Saccharomyces cerevisiae S288C: one gene and its partner. The protein of the gene in region 1 interacts with the protein of each later gene in a biochemical or structural test. Each region holds a gene or a part of one and is shown on either strand. Other genes may lie near its edges. The genes, in order: BCD1 and HIT1.

What was found.
Region 2: the proteins of BCD1 (region 1) and HIT1 form a complex in vitro, tested with the Saccharomyces cerevisiae proteins (one study listed by BioGRID).

The regions. Positions count from the first base shown.
Region 1 is NC_001140.6:186,340-189,524, forward strand, and holds BCD1 (Bcd1p), read left to right. Parts: upstream 1-1,584; coding exon 1,585-2,685; downstream 2,686-3,185. Other genes in the region: MSC7 (meiotic recombination directing protein), read right to left, coding at 1-470; VMA10 (H(+)-transporting V1 sector ATPase subunit G), read right to left, coding at 834-1,175, 1,338-1,340; SRB2 (Srb2p), read right to left, coding at 2,792-3,185. UniProt on the Saccharomyces cerevisiae protein: Required for box C/D snoRNAs accumulation involved in snoRNA processing, snoRNA transport to the nucleolus and ribosome biogenesis.
Region 2 is NC_001142.9:531,043-541,645, forward strand, and holds HIT1 (Hit1p), read left to right. Parts: upstream 1-7,729; coding exon 7,730-8,224; downstream 8,225-10,603. Other genes in the region: OSM1 (fumarate reductase), read left to right, coding at 1-324; UV-damaged DNA-binding protein RAD7, read left to right, coding at 1,020-2,717; BFA1 (Bfa1p), read left to right, coding at 2,985-4,709; KCH1 (Kch1p), read left to right, coding at 5,014-6,507.

The DNA of each region.
Region 1 (3,185 bases):
AATCTTCTTGAGAAATCAGAATTGCCCCAAGTAGATTGAGCTTTGCCTGCCTTAGAAACCATTTCATCTATGTCAGCTTCCGTTTTCGATGGAAAAGAACCTAGATATTGACCTGTGGCGGGACAATGACATTGAATAAAGTTTGGTTCTTCAGGATTCCATATGTTAGTGGAAACAGACCTCTTGCCCTTCCAATTATTTTGAGCGGCCTCTGGTGCAGGAAGGGAGAATTTGACTGGCTTATAGGACGAGGAACACTTTGCTGGGGTGGAGATTATCTTGACCAAAACATACAGAGTGAAAATTGAGGCAACTAGCGTTGTAATGCCTATCAGTTTTTGGTTATCTTGAATAATTTGGGGTTGAGAACGCATTATTGCGTTTTGCTTCTCCAACCATAAGTTAAAGTAAGCTTGAACTGTGGAGTTCAAATGGTTAATCATGTCTGAATTCAGATAGACCTTGGACATGATGAATAAACGTTCGATAAAACAGAGGAGAAACTGAACGTGAACTGTGAAAAGAATTCTACTATTCTGCAAATACTATTATAATTATATAGTAATCCCCATCGGCGTTTAGTATTTTTCGTTAATAAAATAAAAATAGAGAGACCATACTTTCTCCTTTACAACCGATATACTAAATAACACATTTTTGATTATACTACTACTCGTTTAGCAGATAGAGAAAAAAAAAAAAAAAAAAAAAAGGCTGAATGGATAAAGCGAGAGTCGTAAAGACCGAATGCAATGTCAGTTTATACATTTTTATTCTATTGGTATTATATTATAAAAAGATATATGATTAGAAAACTAGAATGTAATGCAATATTACAAGGCATTGATATGGACTTCAGCAGAAGGCTTGATGACAGTCTCGATCAAAATTTTGACAACGTCATCCTTTTTCTTCTCTGCAATTTTCTTAATCTCAGCTAATTCACCTTGCACACCAGCCTCTGCTTTCTTTTCCAATTCACCAACACCACCGGCATTCTTTTGTTCAAACTCCTTCAATTCCTTGTCTTTTTGAATTTTGTATGAGTCGATTTCCTTGGCTGCATCAGTCTTGGCTTGCTTCAACTTATCTTGTCTGTACTTTCTAGCCTTTGATACTATTTCGTGGGCTTCCTTTTCAGCTTGTAGTAGGGTGGCAATTCCGTTTTTTTGGGACTAAAGAGAATATTACATAGTTCTGAGCAACAATGAAAAAACCAATACCTTTGTCACGAGGTACCAGTCCAACAAGAGAGCACAGTTTTAAAAAAGTTTTTCATGTTAGTAAGAACGCTTGTTAGAGACAGAAGTGTTGACACGTAATGTAATGGCACATACCATTCTGCTTTGTATACCTTGCACACTTTGGAGATTGCAGGAAAAAAAAAAATGTATTGTTTAAGGTGTGATTGCTTTATCTATCACGCTCCCTTTTAGAGATGAAATTTTTGATACCCAAGGCAGGGTAACAAATTGAAAAAAAAAAAAATTCGCGGTAATAATAGTGGATGTCAAAGTTCATATTCGATGAGATGAGCTGGAATAGGAGTCCAGTTAATAGGGAAGGGTGTGGCAATTTGCAAGTATGGCGGTGTTGTGTGGTGTATGCGGAATAAAAGAGTTCAAATACAAGTGTCCAAGATGTTTGGTGCAAACTTGCTCTTTGGAGTGTTCCAAGAAGCACAAGACAAGGGACAATTGCTCAGGTCAAACACATGATCCTAAGGAGTATATATCGAGTGAGGCGTTGAAACAGGCGGACGACGACAAGCACGAACGAAATGCTTATGTCCAGAGGGACTACAACTATCTGACGCAGTTGAAGCGAATGGTGCATGTACAAAAGATGGATGCTAGAATGAAGAACAAGCGGGTTCTGGGGCCTGTGGGCGGCCACAACTCTAATTTCAAGAAGAGAAGATACGATATAGATGAGGATGATCGTGATAGCACGGAGTGTCAGAGGATAATTAGGAGGGGGGTGAACTGTTTGATGCTACCCAAGGGGATGCAGCGATCATCGCAAAACAGGAGCAAGTGGGACAAAACGATGGACCTATTTGTATGGAGCGTGGAGTGGATTCTATGTCCTATGCAGGAAAAGGGTGAGAAAAAGGAGCTTTTCAAACATGTCAGCCACCGTATCAAAGAGACAGACTTTTTGGTGCAAGGGATGGGCAAGAACGTTTTCCAAAAATGCTGTGAATTCTATCGCTTGGCTGGAACAAGCTCTTGCATAGAGGGCGAAGACGGTTCGGAGACCAAAGAGGAAAGAACACAGATCCTACAGAAGAGTGGGCTCAAATTCTACACGAAAACGTTCCCTTACAACACCACGCATATAATGGATTCAAAAAAACTGGTGGAGTTGGCTATACATGAGAAATGCATCGGAGAATTGTTGAAGAACACCACAGTGATCGAGTTTCCCACGATATTCGTTGCCATGACAGAGGCTGACCTACCAGAGGGCTACGAGGTGCTACACCAGGAACCCCGCCCACTTGAGCATACGAGTACACTGAACAAGTTTATTGACAATGCAAGGGAGGAGGAAGACGCTGAAGAGGACTCTCAACCGACAGAAGAACCTGTACAGAAGGAAACACAGGACGCCAGCGACAGCGACAGCGACAGCGACGATGACTACAATCCGGGCTTATCCATGGATTTCCTCACTGCATGAGCCGAGATACATAAGGTTGAAGATTACTATTTAGACTATCTATCTATACGTATACACCGCAATATACAAACAGAAAAAAAAAAAAAGAAAAAGCATTCGTAAGAACTCACAGCTCCAGAGCACGAACATACTGGTACGCCAAATCACATATTTCGTTGCTGGTGTCCGGCCCCAACGAGTCGGATGAGGTTTTGTACTCCTTGGCCCGGATTTCAGCTAGGTGTCCTTCGATGCCTGCAATCTTGGTCTCAAACTCGCCCGCTTCGTCCGCCTGCAGTTCTATCAGGAGACCCTTGAACCCAGTGGAGGAGAAGAGGTTGACGAGTCGCACGGTGAGCCCGTCCAAGATCAACGTCTCACCGGCATCACCCTTGATGAGCTGCCTCTGCATCCAGATGTTGGACAGCTTGGACGACAAAATAGTGTCTATGGACTCAGGAACGCCCGTAGATGAGCCATTGAACACCAGCGCCGGAGGGATATCCGCCGCTGCGGCAGTC
Region 2 (10,603 bases), on another chromosome or scaffold:
AAGAGCTATTCCGATGTTAATACTAAGGATACGTTTGATAGGCCATTGATTATCAATGCCTTTGATAAAGATATTTCGACTGAATCAACTGTTTATGTTGGGGAAGTTACACCAGTTGTTCATTTCACAATGGGTGGTGTGAAAATTAATGAGAAATCTCAGGTAATTAAGAAAAATTCGGAAAGCGTTCTATCTAATGGGATATTTGCTGCTGGTGAAGTTTCGGGTGGTGTTCATGGAGCCAACAGATTGGGTGGATCTAGTTTGTTAGAGTGTGTTGTCTTTGGAAAGACAGCTGCGGATAACATAGCAAAATTGTACTGAGAATTTATAGGGAAATAAAAGATATTTTTGCAACGTACTTTACATTTCAATAATTAATGCGACATGATAGGATATACTGTTTGCTATTTCTTTCCGTAACGATATACGATTTTTTCTTTTCTTTGGAGTTCCAAATGAAGAATATATCTTGTTGGGAAAAGCTATAGTATTAGGTTTACAGAATATGGTAGAGGTTTCTCCCCGACGATATAGGAATCTACAAGAGAGAGCATGATTCTACACGATAATACTGCAATTTCTTCTTTGCGTTGAAGTGTCACCATTGCCTATCCTTTTACATTATCAATGTCAATGTTCCCTCTTCTAACAAACTGAATGACTTTTCTACACGATTCATATTATCTTCTTGCGCAGTAAATTATGTTAACGTAATAGTAGGGTCTCTTGTGCTTCATTATTTTGTAACTGTACACATAATTGACACGTTTAACAATTAGTGAGCGCAAGTGGTTTAGTGGTAAAATCCAACGTTGCCATCGTTGGGCCCCCGGTTCGATTCCGGGCTTGCGCAGTTTCTTTTCTTTTTTTCTGGAAAATAAGAAAACTTATTTATGGAAGCAAAAATGGAATAAAGGATTGGGACGAAGTTAGTGAAAAAAAACTGAAATAGTCCTAGAGTAACTCCGAAGTGTCTTTGTATAAGCTATTATCTAGAAATCACGAGAGGGGAAGAAATGTATCGCAGTAGAAACCGACCAAAAAGAGGTGGAGAAAATGAAGTTAAGGGACCAAATTCTGCCTTGACTCAATTTTTAAGAGAAGAAGGGATCAGTGCTGAAAATATCAAACAAAAATGGTACCAGCGACAGTCGAAGAAGCAAGAAGATGCAACAGACGAAAAAAAAGGTAAAGCGGAGGATGATAGCTTTACTGCCGAGATATCTCGAGTAGTTGAAGATGAAGAAATTGATGAAATTGGAACAGGTAGTGGTACCGAGACAGAAAGAGCTCAGGTTTCCTACGATGCCAGGATGAAATTAGTCCCTGCTGATAGTGATGAAGAAGAATATGAAACTAGCCACATTTCTGACACGCCAGTCAGTTTAAGTTCGGCTAATGACCGGGAATCATTGACTAAAAAAAGGCAAAATACTGCAAAAATTATCCAAAATCGTCGCAGAAAGCGTAAAAGAGCAGCTGACCTATTGGATAGACGCGTCAACAAAGTATCCAGCTTACAAAGTCTTTGTATTACGAAAATTAGTGAAAATATATCCAAGTGGCAAAAAGAGGCTGATGAATCATCAAAGTTGGTATTTAACAAATTGAGAGATGTCCTTGGTGGCGTATCAACCGCTAATTTGAATAATTTGGCAAAAGCACTATCGAAGAATAGGGCCCTGAATGATCATACTCTGCAACTTTTCTTGAAGACAGATCTAAAAAGGTTAACTTTCAGCGATTGTTCTAAAATTTCATTTGATGGTTACAAAACGCTAGCCATTTTTTCGCCACACCTAACCGAATTATCCCTACAAATGTGTGGGCAGTTGAACCATGAATCATTGCTTTACATTGCTGAAAAGCTTCCGAACTTGAAATCACTGAATTTAGATGGACCATTTCTGATCAACGAGGACACATGGGAGAAGTTCTTTGTAATAATGAAAGGTAGATTAGAAGAGTTCCACATTTCTAATACGCACCGCTTCACCGACAAATCATTATCTAATTTATTGATCAACTGCGGTTCTACCTTGGTATCCTTAGGGTTATCCAGACTAGATTCTATATCAAATTACGCTTTATTACCGCAGTACCTAGTCAACGACGAATTTCACAGTCTCTGTATTGAATATCCATTCAATGAAGAGGATGTTAACGATGAGATCATCATAAATCTGCTAGGTCAAATCGGGCGCACGTTACGTAAATTGGTTTTGAATGGCTGTATTGACTTGACAGATTCAATGATAATCAATGGTCTGACTGCATTCATTCCTGAGAAATGTCCATTGGAGGTATTGAGCTTGGAAGAATCAGATCAGATCACTACAGATTCACTGTCGTACTTTTTCAGCAAAGTAGAACTGAATAATTTGATTGAATGCAGCTTTAGAAGATGTCTACAATTGGGCGATATGGCAATTATAGAGCTATTGCTTAACGGAGCAAGAGATAGTCTGAGAAGCTTAAATCTCAATTCATTAAAAGAGCTAACTAAGGAGGCATTTGTGGCGTTAGCCTGTCCTAATCTGACGTATCTTGATCTTGGTTTTGTACGTTGTGTTGATGACTCGGTGATTCAAATGTTGGGTGAGCAAAATCCGAATTTAACTGTAATTGATGTTTTCGGAGACAATTTGGTTACTGAAAAGGCCACAATGAGGCCTGGACTTACGTTGATAGGGAGACAGAGTGACAGTATATAATAAAATAAAGACATATAAAACGTGTATTAGATAGAAAACGGAAAATTGACTAATGTTTTTATTCCTATTATACTCAGATCGTCAAATGTTGCCTTTATTTTCTATTGAAGGGATTTTATGGCATCTCGCGAATAATAAACAAACAATAATAGTAAAAAAAAAAGTGTAAACTTATGTATTCAGCGCAGATAAAAGGAAAAAAACGAGAAGTTTGACGTAAAGAAAAAAGTTCGAAAACTTTTGTAGCAGTTGAAAGTTTTGTATGCTATGTCAATTAGGCCTCTCACGTTAAACGGTTTAGATGAGCCAGAAACCTCTTTTGAAGAACTGAATACAACTCTACCTCGCTTTCAATCCCATGAAACATTAACTTTGGAAGAAAACGTGCCACCATTGAGTACATCAACTTATATACCGCCTCCATCCTCGGTAGGTACTTCTGACACTGGCACGGTATTTTCCAATAGTACCAGCGCGTTTTGGTCTAATAAGCAAGCAGACGATGATCAGGACATGGAGGTAGACCAGGATGATGAATTTCTAAATGACTTCCAGGAATTCCAAAATAAAAAGGATGATTTTGACGATGCTATTAAAACAAATTTTCATTTGAGAAATGGATGTCGAACTGGCCCTTTCAAAAACGACATTTTCGCAGAAGAGTTTGATAGAAAACTGAGTTTGGAAGATAAACCAAGGCTAAAGCAACCTAGATCAATGATGGAATTGAAACCAAAAAGAAAACTATCAAATAGCGTCACTTCAAGAAACTTAAGGTCTGGTAATTCTGTAAGATTTAAGAAATCTATGCCTAACTTAGCTTTAGTTAATCCAGCTATCAGAGAAGAAGAAGAGGACGAAGAACGAGAAAGAGAAGATCAACGAGAGTTTAATTACAAGATTGATAACGATACGCAGGACACAATTTTGGCGAAATTCAGTTCAGATGATGAAGGTGACTTTCTGACAGGATTTGAAGAATTAGAGGGTGAAGCAATTGATGAAACGATTTCTTCGAACGATAAAGAAAGTGCCGACCATCCGCGTTTCTTAAAGAAGTCATCCTCATCTTTGCCATTAAAAATATCACCTGCACAATATGATATAGTAAAGCATGACGAATTATTAACTCCAGGTCTTCATAGGCGACAACGAGATTGGAATACCCAGCAGGAACTGGACTCTTTTAAAGAAAAACGATCAGTAAGACACTGTTCTAATCAAAATGTACAACTCAATGGTCCAGCTAAAATCAAAACAATAAAACAGCAAATTGATCATAATACTCCAATGAAGAAAGGTTCTATGATATATAACCCGAAAACTATGAAGTGGGAAGGAAATGAAAACGTCTTAAGCAAATTTAGTGATGTAGACACGGCAAACAGGAAAGCTTTATTGATAAAAAACAAGCTACAACGAGATGCAGATTCTAAGAAGCAAAAATATTCTGATCTACAGCATGCAAGAGCCACTTCGAGAAATCAAAAGGTCATCGGGAACATGATTTTAGATGAACAAAATTTAAGATGGGTTAGTGTTTCAGAGGAAGAAGCAGACCCTTTTGCAGGCATTCCTGAGATAAACTTACCACCAGTTGGCAAAAGTATGAAAAAACGTAGCTCCTCACCATTTTTGCGTTCCAAAAGCCAAGTTAATACGCCATTTGTTTCAAATGACAATGATGGCGTTTATCAAAGTACGGCTGCTCAAGCAAGACTCCGTAAATACCATTCAATGAGGACACTTAACGGTACAACAGAAACTCCAGAAATAAGCTCTACTTTCCATTTGAGTTCAAGAGCATTGGAAAAATTTTACCACGAGGAGAACAGGTGGTGTAAAAAGTTAGCCTCATGGTTTATACCCCGAGATGAGACCATTATCAGTGTTGATGAGGAAACAATCATGGATGAAAGTACGGTCAATAGCAAGAGAAAATCCTATATGTATGAAATCAGGAACATGGTAATCAATTCGACAAAAGATTAGCCCTTTAGCCTTCTTATAACTGTTTCTTTACCGTTATCTTGAGTACATTCATTTCTCTTACATTCCAAAATTAGATAGAACCTTGAATCGTGTCAACTTTTCGCCGACATTTCGCGTCTGACAGAAAAAGAAATGTTGCAGAAAATTCGAATAGATGTTTCAAATGAAAATAGACCATGAGGGACACATTAACATTTCAAACAAAAGAGCCCTTGATGATTATTAAAACAGATCTTTATGGTTTGTTTAGCAAACACTTTGGTAATTTCATGAATATTTGACTAGCAGGAACAGAAAATCAAAAATGTTTAACCATGATTGGAAGTACTCCATTAATTCTAAGACTTTCGCCGATTTAAACATTGAATTATTTCGAAACCACAAGTTCAAAACTGTTTTAAATTACATAATAGGTGTAGTTGGGTGGAATGGATTAAAACTCGCCCTTTTTGTTTCTGACATTTACACATGTATCAAATTGCTGGCATTCAACTCCTGGTCAAACAACATCATCAAACCATACTTACCCTTTAAAATATCCAAATGGTTGTTTAGCGGTTGTATTTTAGCATCGATTGTGCTATTGATATGGGAGGCTATAGCGGGAATGAGGATTTACAAAACGGGAAATATCTCTTTGACTTATGTCAACAATTTTTCCAGAAACCTAAATTCAGTGCTCAATTATTCCAAGTTTTGTGTTTATAATATGATCGAACGAAAGGGTTTTCGACAGAAAATGACATTTTTTACTTTTTTTCAACTGAAAGATTGTATTAGATTAATCTTCACGGATACCCCAAGGCAAGTTATTAATGGTCTTACGCTGTGGTCAGTTCTCGTAACAGTAAATAAAAACGAGGATCTAGGCGATCTGGAATCATTTACCGGTTTGATCAACAAAATAAAGAACATTGGCCAGACCAATCATGAAGAAGCAGTGATATTGTCGCTGATGCTATTTTCCTTTATAATCTGGGCATTATTTGTCTTCAAGTTTCTGCTTGCTGTCATTTGCTCGATTTTTGTTTATTATAAAATAATCAATGATCAGGAATATAGCGGGTTGCGTGAGTACATTTGTGTTACCGTCAGCGAAAATGTTGATGAACTTGTTGAAAGACAAAGGAAAAAGGAAAATGATGACACGATTTATAAGACAGGTCTTCTCGAATCTCAGACTTTTGACGATTTTAAAGAAGTTGAAAATAAAATTGAAACATCTTTTAATGATACGTCATATGCTTCTAATAATGATTCTATGATTGAGCTAATAGAGAGAAGACCCGAATACAAAAGTCAGGATGTATGTGGGCCCATTCCCACAATGAAGAAAACGGAAACAATGGAATCGTTCGTTGACAATGGCAATCCACAATATACCACTAGATTCTCTGCGATTCTAGATTCACCATATATCAACAGCTATGAAAGTAATGATATAAAGAAAGCAAAAATACAAAGCAGAAGCGTAAATACTCCAAAATATGAGGATTTGTCTTCTTCTGACATTTTCAACAAAATACACTCTGCTGGACAATTAAAATCTACAACTTCTATGGAGTTTCACGGGCCATTAGATTCTATGCCAAATACAACAAACAACATCCGTAATTTTAATAGCAACAGTAGTAGACCTAGACCACCTCCTTTACAGACAAAAAGTTCGATTAATTCAAAAGCTGACTCGAATGATAATGGAAGGATTTATACACCAATGAAAGCGTACTTCAGGGAGCCTGATCTTCCGAGGAAGGGTTTGCTGGAAGATGAAGATCGTACATATAATTATACTTAATAGGCTGGCAAAAGCCCTTTGCATATTTCATGAATTAGATAGACGTGATTAGAAACAGCCGTTAGTATGTTTCTGATAAAAATAATACTTTTTTTGTAACACTATTTTCATATATTGGATTGATACCGGTTATAGCACAAACATAACAGCCATGAAAGTTTCTTTGAAAACCCCTTTTAACATTTGCTTGTAAGAGATAGGTTAATTTTTTATAGTTGCTGAGATTCCATTGTTGGTAAAGACTTAATATTAGGTATACAGAATATACTAGGAGTTCTCTCTGGGTATGTAGGAATCCACAAAAGGGTGTCACTAGTTCAACATAATAACATCTTTTTTTTATTCCTTCTTTGATATTTTGTCATATTATCCTATTATTTTATCAATCCTTGCATTTCAGCTTCCAATAGATTTGATATTTGTTTCTCAATATTATGTCATCTTCATACACAGTATGTGATAATATACTAGTAACATGAATACTACTAAATGAGTACTACCTTAGGGGTTCATTACAGCAGCTTAAGCGAAAGTAGAAAATGAGGCGGATATTTGTTGGAATAAAAATCAACTATCATCTACTAACTAGTATTTACGTTACTAGTATATTATCATATACGGTGTTAGAAGATGACGCAAATGATGAGAAATAGTCATCTAAATTAGTGGAAGCTGAAACGCAAGGATTGATAATGTAATAGGATCAATGAATATTAACATATAAAATGATGATAATAATATTTATAGAATTGTGTAGAATTGCAGATTCCCTTTTATGGATTCCTAAATCCTCGAGGAGAACTTCTAGTATATCTACATACCTAATATTATTGCCTTATTAAAAATGGAATCCCAACAATTACATCAAAATCCACATTCTCTACAATATTGATTTCCATCGTGTAAGTTTTCTGCACGAAGTTTATTCATTCAATTTGAAGTGCTTCGTAATAATATTACTATGCAACTTAGGTACCTCATATTTCTTAGAGTTCAACCAAGTTGGTTCCGTTGGCGTAATGGTAACGCGTCTCCCTCCTAAGGAGAAGACTGCGGGTTCGAGTCCCGTACGGAACGTTGATTATTTTTTTTTTTTCGTTTCTTTATAGAAAAAATTCAGACGATATTACCTTGCGATGAGATAATCTTACCGCAGAAAGAGTGCCACAGTGGTAATAACTAGTTGAAGGTTCATATTATATAAAAAACTCTAAGAATAAAAATGGTATCTAGTGCAGTTAAATGTGGCATATGTCGCGGAGTTGATGGTAAATATAAATGTCCTAAATGTGGCGTACGATATTGCTCCTTGAAATGCTATAAAGATGCTGCAAAGCATGTTCATAAGGAAAGCGAACAACCCAGGGCTGGTACAGAAGCTAATGTGGAAGTTGTTAATAACGATAAGATCATAAACAGTTCACTCGCAATGAATAAAACATTAAAGACGAAGGCATTCGATGATATATATCAAAATAGCGCAGAATTGCAAGAGCTGTTGAAATACAACACGGTGAAGTTCCATTTGGCAAAGGTTTATAGAATTTTGTCCAGTACTGTTAACGATGGAAGTTCTGGAAAAATGAACAGCGATCTACAAAAAGAACTAGCTGTAAATTATTTGAATACATTACGATATGGTGGTATACATTATAATGAAGCAATTGAGGAATTTTGCCAGATTTTATTAGATAAATTAAATGCGGTGAAGAAATAAGAATTATCGTTGTTAGCATGATTTTTAAGATTGAGCATTTTATTCATTTTTAACCATATAATAGTGAAGGTGAGGACTAATAACAAAGTACTTGTTGAAAGGGTCGGGTTGCTTTTAGGTTTTTTCTTCTCGTTAAGGATTTCCCACTTGTCTGGCAAGGCGTCAAGCAGACTTGGAAAATAATGATATTATGTCAGAATTTTTGTGTGAGGCGCTTCTATTGCAAGTTTGTGACACCTTATAATAAAAGTGAACCATGTATTTACATATGATTAGGGAAAGTTCCACCATCATCTTATGATCTTCATGGCCGTTTTGGTCTTCTTTTTAACTTGAAGTCCAACTTGGCGACTGTACATATATACATATATATAGCAATAAGTATAACAAGGCAACAAATCAGGTCCCATTATTTAATTTGAAGTCATCTACTGCCCCATAAGAACCTCTATATTATCAGTAGATTCTTTCTTTTAGGGAAATCGAACCTCGATATTGTAAGAGAAACCCGCGCCACTCCTAAAAAGGTATTTTGAAGGAGAGGATGATTTGGAGCAACATTTGGTACACTTTATCCTCAGTTTTTCGCTAACTACCTCGCAACTTGTTGTTGTGGATGAAATTTTTGATATTAATTTCAATAAATAAAATATATGCAAATATCATTATAATTTGTCAAGTGCGGGAAATAGACTATGCAGTGATTTAGTGTGCAAGTTTGCCCACTTCACATTCATACCAAATATTTCTTCCCACTCATTTTTATCGTATTAGCACTACATACGTGACTTTTTAGCTCAGCTTTCGGACTGGATAGCTTTACTGACTTACTTTCTACAAGCGATATCATTCGTCACAGTACTCCAAAGAAGTCTGGGCATTTAATTTTCTTCTTTATCAAGTCCGCCATTATGAAGGAATGTATTGGGTAATAGTTGACATACCGATGTTCTGCTGGTAGCATCGATGAACGAAAATAGGTAACGGCTTGCCGCTGAAGATATTGGAAATGAGACAGATCATTCTAGGGTAAAATGCGCTGTAGAGCTAGCGTCAATTGCGATTTTCGAACACTGGCTGCAGGTATTTCTGTTTTCTCGGCTTTCATTATAGTAATGTGAAGCTACTAGGAGAATCACGAAACATCTTTTTAGTAGGATGAGAACACCACGCTCTCCTAACTGGAAGTAATTTTTGGTATGCTTAGAGATCTGTTCCTCTCTTATGACTTCTTTTTCGCCTACTATAAACTTAATATCAACATATTTAGTTAGTTTTTTCAGAGCAATACGTGTTTATTTTTTCACAACTTCGCATGGCATTATGTATCATTGCAGCGTAAATTTTTACATTTAGTAATATCTAATAACATATACACAAAAAAGGGACAGATTTTTGAATTAAATAAACCAAGCGTAAATCAGTATTGCTCTTACCGCAGTAGGGGGAGTTATCTACTCCTGCTTAACGTAGAGAAACAATAGTAAAAGTTATGCTTGTGTTGGAATAAAAATCAACTATCGGCTGGCAACTAATAGGGACACTACCAATATATTATCATATACGGTGTTAGACGATGACATAAGATACGAGGAACTGTCATCGAAGTTAGAGGAAGCTGAAATGCAAGGATTGATAATGTAATAGGATAATGAAACATATAAAACGGAATGAGGAATAATCGTAATATTAGTATATAGAGATAAAGATTCCATTTTGAGGATTCCTATATCCTCGAGGAGAACTTCTAGTATATTCTGTATACCTGATATTATAGCCTTTACCAACAATAGAATCCCACCAATTATCTCAAAATTCACCAGTATCTTAAAGAGAATGTGGATTTTGATGTAATTGTTGGGATTCCATTGTGATTAAGGCTATAATATTAGGTATGTAGAAAGTACTAGAAGTTCTCCTCCAGGATTTAGGAATCCATAAAAGGGAATCTGCAATTCTACACAATTCTATAAATATTATTATCATCATTTTATATGTTAATATTCATTGATCCTATTACATTATCAATCCTTGCGTTTCAGCTTCCACTAATTTAGATGACTATTTCTCATCATTTGCGTCATCTTCTAACACCGTATATGATAATATACTAGTAACGTAAATACTAGTTAGTAGATGATAGTTGATTTTTATTCCAACATATCTCAACATTAATTACTCGGAACTTTTTTTTGATTTGTTATATAATAACAGAAAATCCAGATTTGTACAGAAAGAAAATCCGTGATAGTTTAATGGTCAGAATGGGCGCTTGTCGCGTGCCAGATCGGGGTTCAATTCCCCGTCGCGGAGATTTTTTTGGCTACTGTTGCGGTTACATATAACATACTTTTTGCATATATCGTAAGTTATCAGACA